3 linked regions of the Coturnix japonica genome follow. The protein of the gene in region 1 purifies or fractionates together with the protein of each later gene. This does not show direct contact. Links are inferred from orthologs where the notes say so. Each region holds a gene or a part of one and is shown on either strand. Other genes may lie near its edges. The genes, in order: PRMT8, HNRNPU and EWSR1.

What was found.
Region 2: the proteins of PRMT8 (region 1) and HNRNPU purify together in Homo sapiens (affinity purification with mass spectrometry; 3 studies listed by BioGRID and IntAct, counting the BioPlex papers as one, with this or other methods). This does not show direct contact. The link is inferred for Coturnix japonica from reciprocal best matches to the Homo sapiens genes PRMT8 and HNRNPU.
Region 3: the proteins of PRMT8 (region 1) and EWSR1 purify together in Homo sapiens (affinity purification with mass spectrometry; 3 studies listed by BioGRID and IntAct, counting the BioPlex papers as one, with this or other methods). This does not show direct contact. The link is inferred for Coturnix japonica from reciprocal best matches to the Homo sapiens genes PRMT8 and EWSR1.

The regions. Positions count from the first base shown.
Region 1 is NC_029516.1:68,075,419-68,079,867, forward strand, and holds the start of PRMT8 (protein arginine N-methyltransferase 8), read left to right. Parts: upstream 1-1,535; 5' UTR 1,536-2,170; coding exon 2,171-2,245; intron 2,246-2,415; exon of another isoform or gene 2,416-2,538; intron 2,539-3,199; exon of another isoform or gene 3,200-3,260; intron 3,261-4,449. UniProt on the Homo sapiens protein: S-adenosyl-L-methionine-dependent and membrane-associated arginine methyltransferase that can both catalyze the formation of omega-N monomethylarginine (MMA) and asymmetrical dimethylarginine (aDMA) in proteins such as NIFK, myelin basic protein, histone H4, H2A and H2A/H2B dimer.
Region 2 is NC_029518.1:31,199,307-31,202,955, forward strand, and holds part of HNRNPU (heterogeneous nuclear ribonucleoprotein U), read left to right. Parts: intron 1-1,395; coding exon 1,396-1,535; intron 1,536-2,794; coding exon 2,795-2,894; intron 2,895-3,649. UniProt on the Homo sapiens protein: DNA- and RNA-binding protein involved in several cellular processes such as nuclear chromatin organization, telomere-length regulation, transcription, mRNA alternative splicing and stability, Xist-mediated transcriptional silencing and mitotic cell progression.
Region 3 is NC_029530.1:9,960,466-9,963,398, reverse strand, and holds part of EWSR1 (RNA-binding protein EWS), read left to right. Parts: intron 1-454; coding exon 455-492; intron 493-1,072; coding exon 1,073-1,105; intron 1,106-2,015; coding exon 2,016-2,134; intron 2,135-2,689; coding exon 2,690-2,819; intron 2,820-2,933. UniProt on the Homo sapiens protein: Binds to ssRNA containing the consensus sequence 5'-AGGUAA-3'. Might normally function as a transcriptional repressor. EWS-fusion-proteins (EFPS) may play a role in the tumorigenic process.

The sequences.
Region 1 (4,449 bases):
GCACATGTCTCTGTAACATTCTCTCACATTCTGAAATATTTCATACAACACCATTGTATCCTACATGTCATATTCTCACTGTCAGTTGACATACCAGCATGTTACATACTTTAGCTTCTCTGGGTTTTATTGCATATACATGAATTATATCATGTCTGAGGACAGCTCTGAAAGTAATGCCTCCTATTTTATGATGTTGGTCAACAATATTAGAAGTAAATATTGGTGGTATGTCAGTAGAGGTTGAATCTTCCTACCAACGTTTTGTTAAATTCTATTTCCATGTGAAACAGATGGCAGCAGAAGGACAGTCTAACAAAATAGCACCTGACTGGGAAGCGTGTATGAGCAAAGCTGCATAACTGAATTCCTTCATGTGGGAAGAATTGTACTCAACTGACATTCATCAATGCTTGCTGAACATTCATGGAGACCAAACAGTGGATGCTAGCACAGTGAGGTGGTGGTGTGTTTCAGCAGAGGTGACAGTGGCAGTAAGTTACCTCCACTGGTGCAGATTTTTATAAGTGCGGTATGTAGGCTCTAGTTTATCATTGGTGAAAACGCATAACTGATCATGGTGAATGTATAAAAAAAAAAACCATTTTGTAATTGCGAATTTTCTCTAGCAAATAATCTTACTGTGTTTTTTGTATCTGCTGTAGTTTCTATGGAAATAAATAGGAGGCACTTCTTTCTGAGCACCCTATGTATTTTATATGTCACCCAAGACAATTCCTCATCACCACCATCACTTTTTGCGTAGCCCGGGCAACGCAAAAAAAGGCTGGGTACTCATGCACTAGCTGATGATAGGTCAGTATTGTAGTGGTCAGCTCAGGATAAACTCTAATTAAAATACTTAAAAATAGACTCTAGGGGACAAAAATTCAACAAATTCAAATTTCTCTCTGATGTAGCATCTGAGTTGGATATGTGCTTAAAATAATGCACTGAAAGCAATCTTTTCAAGTCTCCATTGACACCTGCAGAGGAAATGATTTCAGACTCTTCAGAGAGCAGCAGTCTTGCTCTGGTCCTTGAAATCTTGCAAGCTACACACACCCACACACCAACATTATTTCCTCACCTCCTCTATATAAAAACAAAACAAAACCATGAGAACAGTGGGCTGAAAGTCGAGCTGTGGAATATGAAGTTGAAAGGATTAATTATGTAATACACCCCCTCTCACCCTTGCTCACAGCAACACAAGGGAGGTAAAACCAAGAAAAAACAAAACAAAACAAAACATGTCTGTATGAGAGGGACAGAAAATGAGGGAACATGCTTGTATATGAGAGGGAGTAGGTAACAAGTTGGGGGGAGCTTGACATAGTGTTTTTCCTATGAAAGACGTGTAAATGCAATTTTCAGAGACGAACAAAAAGTATTTCTCAGGAGGAGAAAGGGTCGAGAAAATGAAGGATGGGATGAGTGATGGGGGGGAGGGGGGAGGGAGAGGATGAAAAGGAAAAGGGGAGGAGAAGGCAGAGGAGAGGGAGGAGGAGGGGAATGAGGGAGAGAGAGGGAGGGGTGAAGGGGAGGAGAGATTGGGGAAGGAGAAAGGAGAAAGCGAAGAGAAAGGGAAATGGAAAGGAGAGAGGAGGTTACCGTACTTTTTCATGGAAAGACAGTGGCAAATGTGTGACCATCTTTAAAAGAAATTTTCTGAAGACCCAGAGAGAAAGAAGTCCAAAAAAGGAAAGTAAGAGGCTATGTTTTCCTTGTTCTGCTGTTTTATCTCTGCCTCCCTCTCTCTCTGGAAGATTACCCACAGGACACAAAGATGCCGAGCTGGTCCCTGCATGCACAAGTTCAGTTCAGCTGGTGCTTCTCTCCTGTTTAGCTCGACAGATTTCTCTGAAGGGGTGGACTCACAGACTGACAGCCCATTAGTTTAACCTGAAGAGTGCGTGCCACCTCTCTGCCCATTCCCAAAGCTTGCTGGAGGTGGAGGTGAGAGGAAAATACTTGAAAGTGCCAAGGAGCTCCTGATGCCAAAAGACGACAAATAGTCTCTTGGGTGAATTAGAACGGACAGAGAAGACTGATTTATTGCTGTTTTCTGTAGAAGTTTCCTCCCTTTGGTGAAAACCTGTATTTGGAAATCTTTGAAAACACAAAACAAAATACCAATCTCGAAGCCCCAACCCCGTGGTTAGCTCTTATGGGAATGAAACACTCCTCCCGCTGCCTGCTCCTGAGGAGGAAAATGGCGGAGAACAGTGCCGAAAGTACTGAGGTAAGAACGCAAGTCAAAGCCTGTAACCCAGTTTCCCCAGCCCTGGGCTCCCTCAGCAGAAGCAGTAATAACTGACGATGAACTTTCCTGAGTCCTTTGGCTTGTCTGCCTCTTTTGTTATGATTTCCTGACTGCGCTTCTCTTCCCTTCAGACCCCCCTCCCCCTCCCCTCACTCCCTCCCACTCGCCGCCGTTCACTGCTGTTAGAGAACTTTGCTCCCGGATGGACTGTCTAGTCCCTCGGGCAGCTTCCGGGAAGCATCCGTGGTATGACTTCTTCCCCGGAAGGCTAGGTGGGTCATTGCAGGCTGGTTGGAAGAGACGTTTTGTGTCGTGTACCGTGAAAGGGAAAAAAAGAGGTTGTGCGGCGCTGAGTGGGGGGGGAGGGGGCGCGGGGGAGGAGGAGGCTGTTACTGCATGTTTGAGGAGGCTGACAGGGATTTTTGTACAGCACCTTGGTCAGCTCCTGGTGCTTTTCAACTGAAACGACGCAGTGTCAGGGCTGCGTGGGGGTGCTGAGAGAAATCTCCCTGCAGCACCCGGATATCACAGCGAAACTGCTTGAGCACGGTTCGGGGACAGGAAGAGCATTTCCCCAAGCGCCTGTCTGACCTGAGCTTCCTTCAGCCTTTTTTTTTCTCATTCAGCTGCAACCCTCATTTGCCTCCTTGGAGCTGTCTTGATCTCGCTGAGTCTTCTTAAATTTTACAGAAGTATGCAAAATCTCAGCTCTGAAAAAGTAAAAGATGCAGGATGTAATCTCAGTTTCTTTGGGAACCTGTGAGAAGCAGACAGGTGAATGTGCAAATATGCGCCCATTTCTATTAACAGACTATGCCTGAGACTGGCTGAACATTTAACATATTGTTAAGCTATATGCAGCATAGCCATATGTGGACCCCCAAGGACACTGTACCCTAATTAAGTTCAACTGCATTGTCCTTGTATGCACAGATGATACTGGCTCTCCTCCCCATTGCCCTGCAGATAATAAAGAACAAAGCACCACTCCAGGGTGAGTGAGCATGTGACTGTTCCCTCCTTTCTCCTTTCAAGGTCTTTGCTAAATGTCTCCTGCTTTCAAATAGTCCTCACAGTAAGTGCTCTGCACCTTTATGAATCCAACATTACTCCTTGTATAGTGTTTCCTCTGTTAAGAAATATGTGTCCGATGTACATAAATATACCTTATTTGCTATGCCATGTGAAGAACAGAGCTATCTCAGTAGTTTAATGTGAGCATTAAATCAAAGAGCATACCTAATATTGCATTAAGTAAAGTGCTGTTTGCAGGAGATGTGTGTATATGTAGTATGAAATCTAGCTGCACATCAATAAAACTGTTATAGTACTGACAGGATATATCGCATTAAGTGTCCCAAGTTCCTTGGTGATATTGCAAGGAACATTTCCCATCAAAGCTCTTTTCCTCTATGATCTGTCTTTAGAAAGCAGCAGACAAAAAAAAATTAAAATTCTTTAAATATTGTTCTTGTATTTCAACTCACTGTTAGTACATTTTTATTGCTTAAATTCCTCATCATGTTTGTGCAATGCTACAATGTGCTTTTATGAAGATTTTCTAAACAATGACAATTTTGTGAACTGAGAATGATGAGTGAAAATTGTAGATTAGGTGCCTTCTGCTGTGTCTTAAGAAAACCAAGAGGCATATACTCATAATACCTGCAAAAATATTTCTCCTGTTTTATTAATTTTCATCTTAGTGACTTTAAGTTCTCTTTTGTTCTGAGATGTCTTAGAAATGCACAGACAAAATTTGCCAATACCTTTGAAGCTTTTTTCACTAGTCAAGCATCTATGTTTAGTGAAGCCTTAAGATACCAGTTTATTCCCCTAACATATTTTTCTTTTTCATTTTTCTAAGTTAGCAAATGTTCTTTGACAAAAGGAATGCAGAACAAAGCACCTTACATTTGGATTTGTCATAGTGTAGGAGAAAAATTAGGAAGTGGCATAAATCTCATTTGAAACCACTGGGATTTCACAAATATGCTGAATCTGATGCTCATTGAATTTTCTAAAGTACTTTGATGTGCTGGTGATAGGCATGATGTGAAAAATACTATCTAGAGAGAGAGAGATGAACAGTTAAAAACATTTAACAAATGGTCAAAACATCTCACAACCAAATCATTCCAAAAACCTCATAGTTCTTACACAGATTACTTTAAAGTTCCTAA
Region 2 (3,649 bases), on another chromosome or scaffold:
TTAGTTTACAGCCACGTATTTTGCTGAATATGCCATTATCTTCCAACGTGGTGAGTAGCCATCTTTGTGGGAGTCCTTAACTCTCCCAATAACTGACTGGTAGCTACTTCTGATTATTGTATCTAGTAGAAATTTCTGTTACCCACAAACAGTAACTGAAAGTGTCAGCAGGCTGTTGGGAGCACCCCATCAAGCACAGCTTTAAAGAGTGAATTGTATAACAGCTTGGCTCTCTTGACTATGACAATCCATGTATAAGAGGTTTAGTGCTCTTAAGTGCTTCTTGTGTCTTAGAAGAACATTTTGGCTAGAAATTGTTGTGTGTTGCTTTAAAAGTAACCTACACTGTTTTATTCTGCAGATTGCTTTTGTTTGGCTTTCCTGCTACAACTAGAAGTATTAATGGGAATGCTTAAGTCCTAACTATAGCCACAGATGGCTTTGTGCAAACAAGATCTCCTGTTTGAGAATTACCAGTAATACAGGGACAACTGCAGTTTAATATGTGCGGGCATCATGTAGACTTTCTGCTAAGGCGGAAGATACTCTGGTTGCTAATTTCACACCTTTCTTGTAACTGTCAAATAGGTTCAGAGTTTCTTCTGTGGATTCCTTACTCTGGGGGATTCAAGTGCCATATCCTGCACTTCACGTTCCCACTTTGTGTTGTCATTTTGAAAGCTACTGGAAGATAAATCTGAGACTTTACAGTGCAGCAGTCCCGAAGATGTCTATATAACAGAGGTTCCATTTAAGGCTCCTAGGGTTTTGTCAGGATGTTGAGTTCATGCTGCAGATCATGATTGGTTTGGGTTTTTGTTTTTACACGAAATGAGCTCACTTACCATGTGCTGTGTGCTTATCTGCACTTAACTGACTTTATTTTATTGGCTTAATCTAATTGGACTTGGCTAAAGGACTGTATATCTCCTGAAGATGGTACTACTTCCAGTACTTAAACAGAAATACCCGTGTTTGTACTTAGTGCTTTCAGACATTAGGGGTAAGGCTTGACAAAAAGGAATCTAGCAAGTAGCTCTGAGAGCAGCATGCATCTTCCAGATACACTGCATTGGATAACTGACAAAAAAGGTTGAAATAGGTGAGATGGAAGCCAAGTATTTATTAAAGCTTGGGAACTTAGTAGTGGAAGATGGCACCATGCAAATCATGTTTGTTGTTAGTTGCATTTACCTCAGTTCTTTGGCATGTGTCCAGTTGTCCTCCTGCCTTTACCAAATGGCAGCTTAAAATCACCTTAGAAAACTGGAGTCACTTTTAATGCATGAAATGAGAAAGTTTTGCTTTGTTGGTGTTTAGCTTTTCTTTTTTGTGGGTTTGTTTTGCTTTTCTTTTGTTTTTTAAACTGAAGTATGCAATAATTTTTGTTAACAGATAACTGTGACCTGCATTTTAAAATCTCAAGAGACCGGTTTAGTGCTTCCTCACTGACCATGGAAAGCTTTGCTTTCCTTTGGGCTGGGGGGAGAGCTTCCTATGGAGTTTCTAAAGGCAAAGTCTGCTTCGAGATGAAGGTAAGACTTTCATTTTTGTGGGAGGCTGTTTTAGGTGTTAAATATTACAGTGTTTATATTTCAGTGTTAGATGTTAAAGAAAGCATTATGTAATGATGCAGAGAAATGGCTCTCAATGAAAGATGCCTTAATTTGCTAAACTGCTTTCTCTCTTTAAGAAATTAACTTGAAAATAAAGCTGCATTTGACATGACAACGTAACTTACTGTCATAGTTTTAAACAGAGAATTTTAGGCGGCACTTGATGCACCAGAACATAAAGAATTAGAATAGTAGTTGGGAGCTCACTTGTGTTTACTTCATGAAGATTACAGAAGTTTGGATTTACCAAACTTTTGAGTTGGAATGGAAAAGGGCAATCAGCCTTACAAGAAACAGATTCCTCCCACTTGTCAAGGAAGAAAATCAGGAGTCACAAAGTCAAACATCTTGATTTTTAGCAGCGTTAAAGCCTTATTTGCTGAAGATGTGTGTGGACATGTGCTTATTCTGTTCACTTTTTTACTACTTCCAAATGTTAACTGCTCACATATGAGTTGGTAGTGATCCCATTCATTGGTGACTGTAACTCTGGGAGGACAAGAACATGAAACATTGTATTTATTGTCTTGTTACTCTTCAGACTTTCCCTTGGTCACATGACTCAAATATTTGTGGAAACCAGTGGCCTGTGATTTTTTTCCCCACTTAAATTTGATGCTATTTTCTACAAGGCGATTAGAGGAGCTGGTTGCCTCCAGCTCGCAGTGCTCCCAGGCGAGGTTTTTGAATCTGGTTCTGTTGTTTGGTAGTTGGCAATTTGCCTGGGATCTCTGCTTTCTCTGGAAAAGGGTGTAGTATTTCCCTGGGTCTGTCTGGAGAAGTGTTCTCATCTCATGCCACACTTTATTGGCAAAGCAATTCGCTGTTAATCCCGATGTTGTAGCAGAGTTTCTAATTGATTATATTCCTTGCGGGCTGTAATTTTAACGCAGTATCAAGAGGGTTGATATTTTTGACTATCAAGAGAATGCTGTGATTAAGTGCTCTGAAGGTACGTGATGTTTTGCATCTCCGTCAGTCAAGGGATTTGAACATTTAGTGACTGCTTTGTGATTTCACAGGCATGGTTAAGTCTTGTACTTAAGCAAAAAAACTGTTATTTGGACTTGTAAAGATGTAAGCAGAGAATAAAGGTTCTGGATGTTACCATTGCTTCTTTCTTGTTGGGATCTTAGAAAAAAACACTCAATAACTTTTAATGAATAATTTAAAAATAGGTTACAGAAAAGATTCCTGTTAAACACCTGTATACAAAAGACATTGATATACATGAGGTGCGAGTTGGCTGGTCGCTGAACACAAGTGGAATGTTGCTCGGTAAGACCTCAAGTTTTTCTTCTGTGTTATATTGTCTGTGGTTGAAATTTTCCTGTCTGACTAACAGAAAAGCATCTGTAAAACTGAACGATTGTAGCCCGTGTGTTTTGAAAAGGGGTTTTGAGTTATTAATGGATGTTGTGGAAGTTTAGTACTGGGACCAAACAAGGTTAACTATTTAAGATTTTGAGATTATAAGGTTTACGCATAGAAGGAAAATTCGTAGATAATTGTGTTACTATTCTCTTGGAGTTGGGGAGTCTTATTTCTAAACAGCTGGAACAACAAAAAACAACTTCAGTAGATAAGTGGGATCAGATAATTACTGTATTTTTAACTAATAGCTGCTGATGAGATATGTCTGAAAAATGTGTACGAATAGGGGTATTCTGATAGCAGCAACTTTCTAGTTATACGTACTTAAATTCCATCTGAGTTCTTGTGTTTGACGTTTGCTGTTAGCTTGTTCCTTGCAGCTTCATCCTCAGCTGTCGCATAGGCTGAATGTCTGCTAAACTCCCTTTAAAATGGGGAGGGGTAAGTGCTGCTGGAGACTTAATTCAGAAATGCCTTTCTGACTAACTGCATTACAGGTATACTGATTCACAAACAGGTTTTCAGGGTTTAAGAATACTTACTCATGTCTTTAGCTAGAAGTGTTCAGCATTTTGTCACCAAGAATCTGGAACCAGTAGCATAAAGCTTTTAAGGTTAGGGTGAGGAAAAAACTGCTGTTCCATTTTAAATGACACTAT
Region 3 (2,933 bases), on another chromosome or scaffold:
CGCGTGTGGTCATCTCCTCCCTTTTGAACTGTTAATGTCAGGGTCCCGGCAGGCTGAGGGTGCACTTTGTGAACACGCCGCAGGGAGGGAGCGACCAGCGGGCAGCCCTGGATCACAGGGATTGATCTGCAACGCTCACGGATGGGTGTCAGTTTGGTTTGGTGGTTGTTTTCTTTTTGCCAAGTATTGCACTGCTAATACCAATACAAAGTAATGGAAGGGTACCGACAGCAAAGTGGTGTCTAGAACCAGACAAGCGAGGTTGTGTATGTAAAGGAAATTTGAGCGAGCTGCCCTGAAGAAAGGCATAGTGACGAGATGAGAGAGAGAGAGAGACAGATGCATTGTTTGGAGATGTTTAGCCAGTGCCCTTCTTCCCTGTGAGCCGCAGAGGCTCAGAGCGGTACTGGCTTTGTAAAGGGAAAGGCCTTCATTTCTTCGTTTATCCCCCCAGCAGCGCTGGAGAGCGAGGTGGCTTCAATAAGCCTGGTGGTAAGTTTTTGAGCATTACAATGGATAGTGTTTAACGGAAAAAAAAAAAAAAAAAAGAATAATAATAATAATAAATAATAATGATAATAAAACAAACCAATTGCAGTCAGTCTGTAGAAAAAAATAAAGTGTAATTTGTCTTAGTTTTAAGTGGTTAAAAATGACGTATGCAACAAGACTGTAATGGGTAGAGCCGGCCATGCCCAGGGGTACGCGGTTACAGGTGATATGGAAGCATTGAGAAACCACTTCTGTAATTGGGGGAAAAGAAATGGTTTGGATTTGATAATTCTTAAGTAACTTTTGGATTAACCAACTGTAAAACGGATTGGCCTGGTAAAGCATTAAGACAAAAAACCAACCCCACGCAATAGTGGTTAATGGATGGAAAGGCTGCTAAAAACAGCGAACCGGTCGCCACGTAGAGGTGCATTGCTGGTGATTGTGCAGTGCGGGTCAGTTGGAGTTTAACCAGCGCCATCGAATGGTGGTTATAAGTAGATAGTGATGTGTGTGTCGCTCCTTCAGCCCGCAGGGCCTGCACTAACACTGCTTCTTATGGTTCTCTCCCGACTGGCAGGACACATGGAGGAAGGACCGGACCTTGACTTAGGTAATTGTCACTGCTCACACCCCTCCCAGGCTGCTGGCGTGGAGGTTTCTGTGCCCATCTCAGCTGGCAGAAGATGTTGCCCCGTATCTCGCCCTCCCATAACCCAAGTACAGAGGTGCTCTGCTGTTTGCAGTCTCTTTGGGGCTGTTTCATCTGATTCTCTATTCCTGGTTCATCAGAGCGCTTGGACTGGTGGAAGCCCACACGTGTCTGTGAGATGCTTGTGCTTCTCTATGGAGCCAGGGGGCTCTTGCCAAGGAGCTGCTGTGTGGCTGCCTGGAGCAGCAGAAAGCACGTTCCAGGCTGCAGCAGTCTGGAGCTTGTAGGCACTTGTCCAGCAGTCTCCTTCCTCCTTATAAGATCATAGAATGGTTTGAGTTGGAAGGGGCCCTTAAAGGCCGTCTTACCCAACCACCCCCTGCAACAAACAGGGGCACCCACAGCTCCATCAGTGCTCACAGCCCCATTACCTGTGGCTGTCTGCAGGGATGGTGCACCACCCACCACCTCAATGGGCAGCCTGTGCCACCCCCACCTGGGGCCCTTTTCTTCCTCCTGCACAGACACATTTGGTAGTTCCCCATCAGCCTAAGGAAAGAGGGGATTATAGCAGCAGGAGGGGTGAGCATCCACATGCGGGACCTGGAGGATGCAGGGGTGTGTTGTGCCTTTGGGTCTCGCTCATGCCCCATTGCAGAGGTCTTGCATGGTGCCCTGGCCATGCTGGGTGGCTGCAGCAGAGAGCTCAGCCCTTAGCACTGCTCTCTGTGCCTGGGGTTTCCTGGAGTGCCTCAGTTCTATGTCGCTTCATAAATGCACTTATTGAGAGAGAAGCTGCAGCTGGCTGAGGGGTGACGTGCTGCTGGATCGCTGCCTCTTCCACTGCCTGACCCTGAGATTTGTCTCCTAGGCCCACCTATAGACCTGGATGAGGACTTGGACAACAGCTCAGTGTATGTGCAGGGACTCAATGATAACGTGACCCTGGAGGATCTGGCAGACTTCTTCAAACAGTGCGGGGTTGTCAAGGTGAGAGGAACGTGTGTGTGCAGGTGAGCACAGAGAAGGGAGCTGGCTGCCTCCTCCCTGCCCACTGTCCCATTCAGCCCCTTCTGTGGAGCCGGGCAGCTCTGATGGGCAGTGAGATCAGCACAGCCTGGAGCTGCCCTGTAGCACAAGCTCCCCAAAAGATCCTCATCAAGCTTTGTCCCTCTGTGCACTTCCATCAGCCATGCAGAAGCAGCAGTGCTTACAGACTCAGGAAGCATCCGTCTGTGGATCTGCTGCGGGTGGGATGTGTGACAGCTTGAGCGCAGGGCGGTGGGGAGAGTGGAGGAGGATGTGGGGAGGCTGCAGCTCCATTCCTGCACTCACAGGAGCCTGCAGGAGAGGCTGCTGGGCCAGTTCCTGCTTTTGGTTGCCATGGGTGGCTGTTGGTGTGGTAAGCCAGAGGGCCATTTCTCTTGCCACGGAGTTGCTAAGTGGAAGTGTTAGCTCAGATCAAAAGCAGAACAGGGGGGAGAGCCCCCACTCGGTGTATACGGGGATGTGTGACTTGTTATAAATGATTTGATGTCCTGCTAGATGAACAAGAGGACTGGGCAGCCCATGATACACCTCTACATTGACAAAGAAACTGGCAAACCGAAAGGAGATGCCACGGTCTCTTATGATGACCCATCCACTGCCAAAACAGCTGTGGAATGGTTCGATGGTGAGTATGGGGTGTGATGTGTTGGGATTGCCCTTCTGCTCCACGTGATTATGGACTCCGTGCACTTGTGTGCGCCCTGGGAACGTGTGTGTGGTGCCGGGCTCTGTGTGGAAA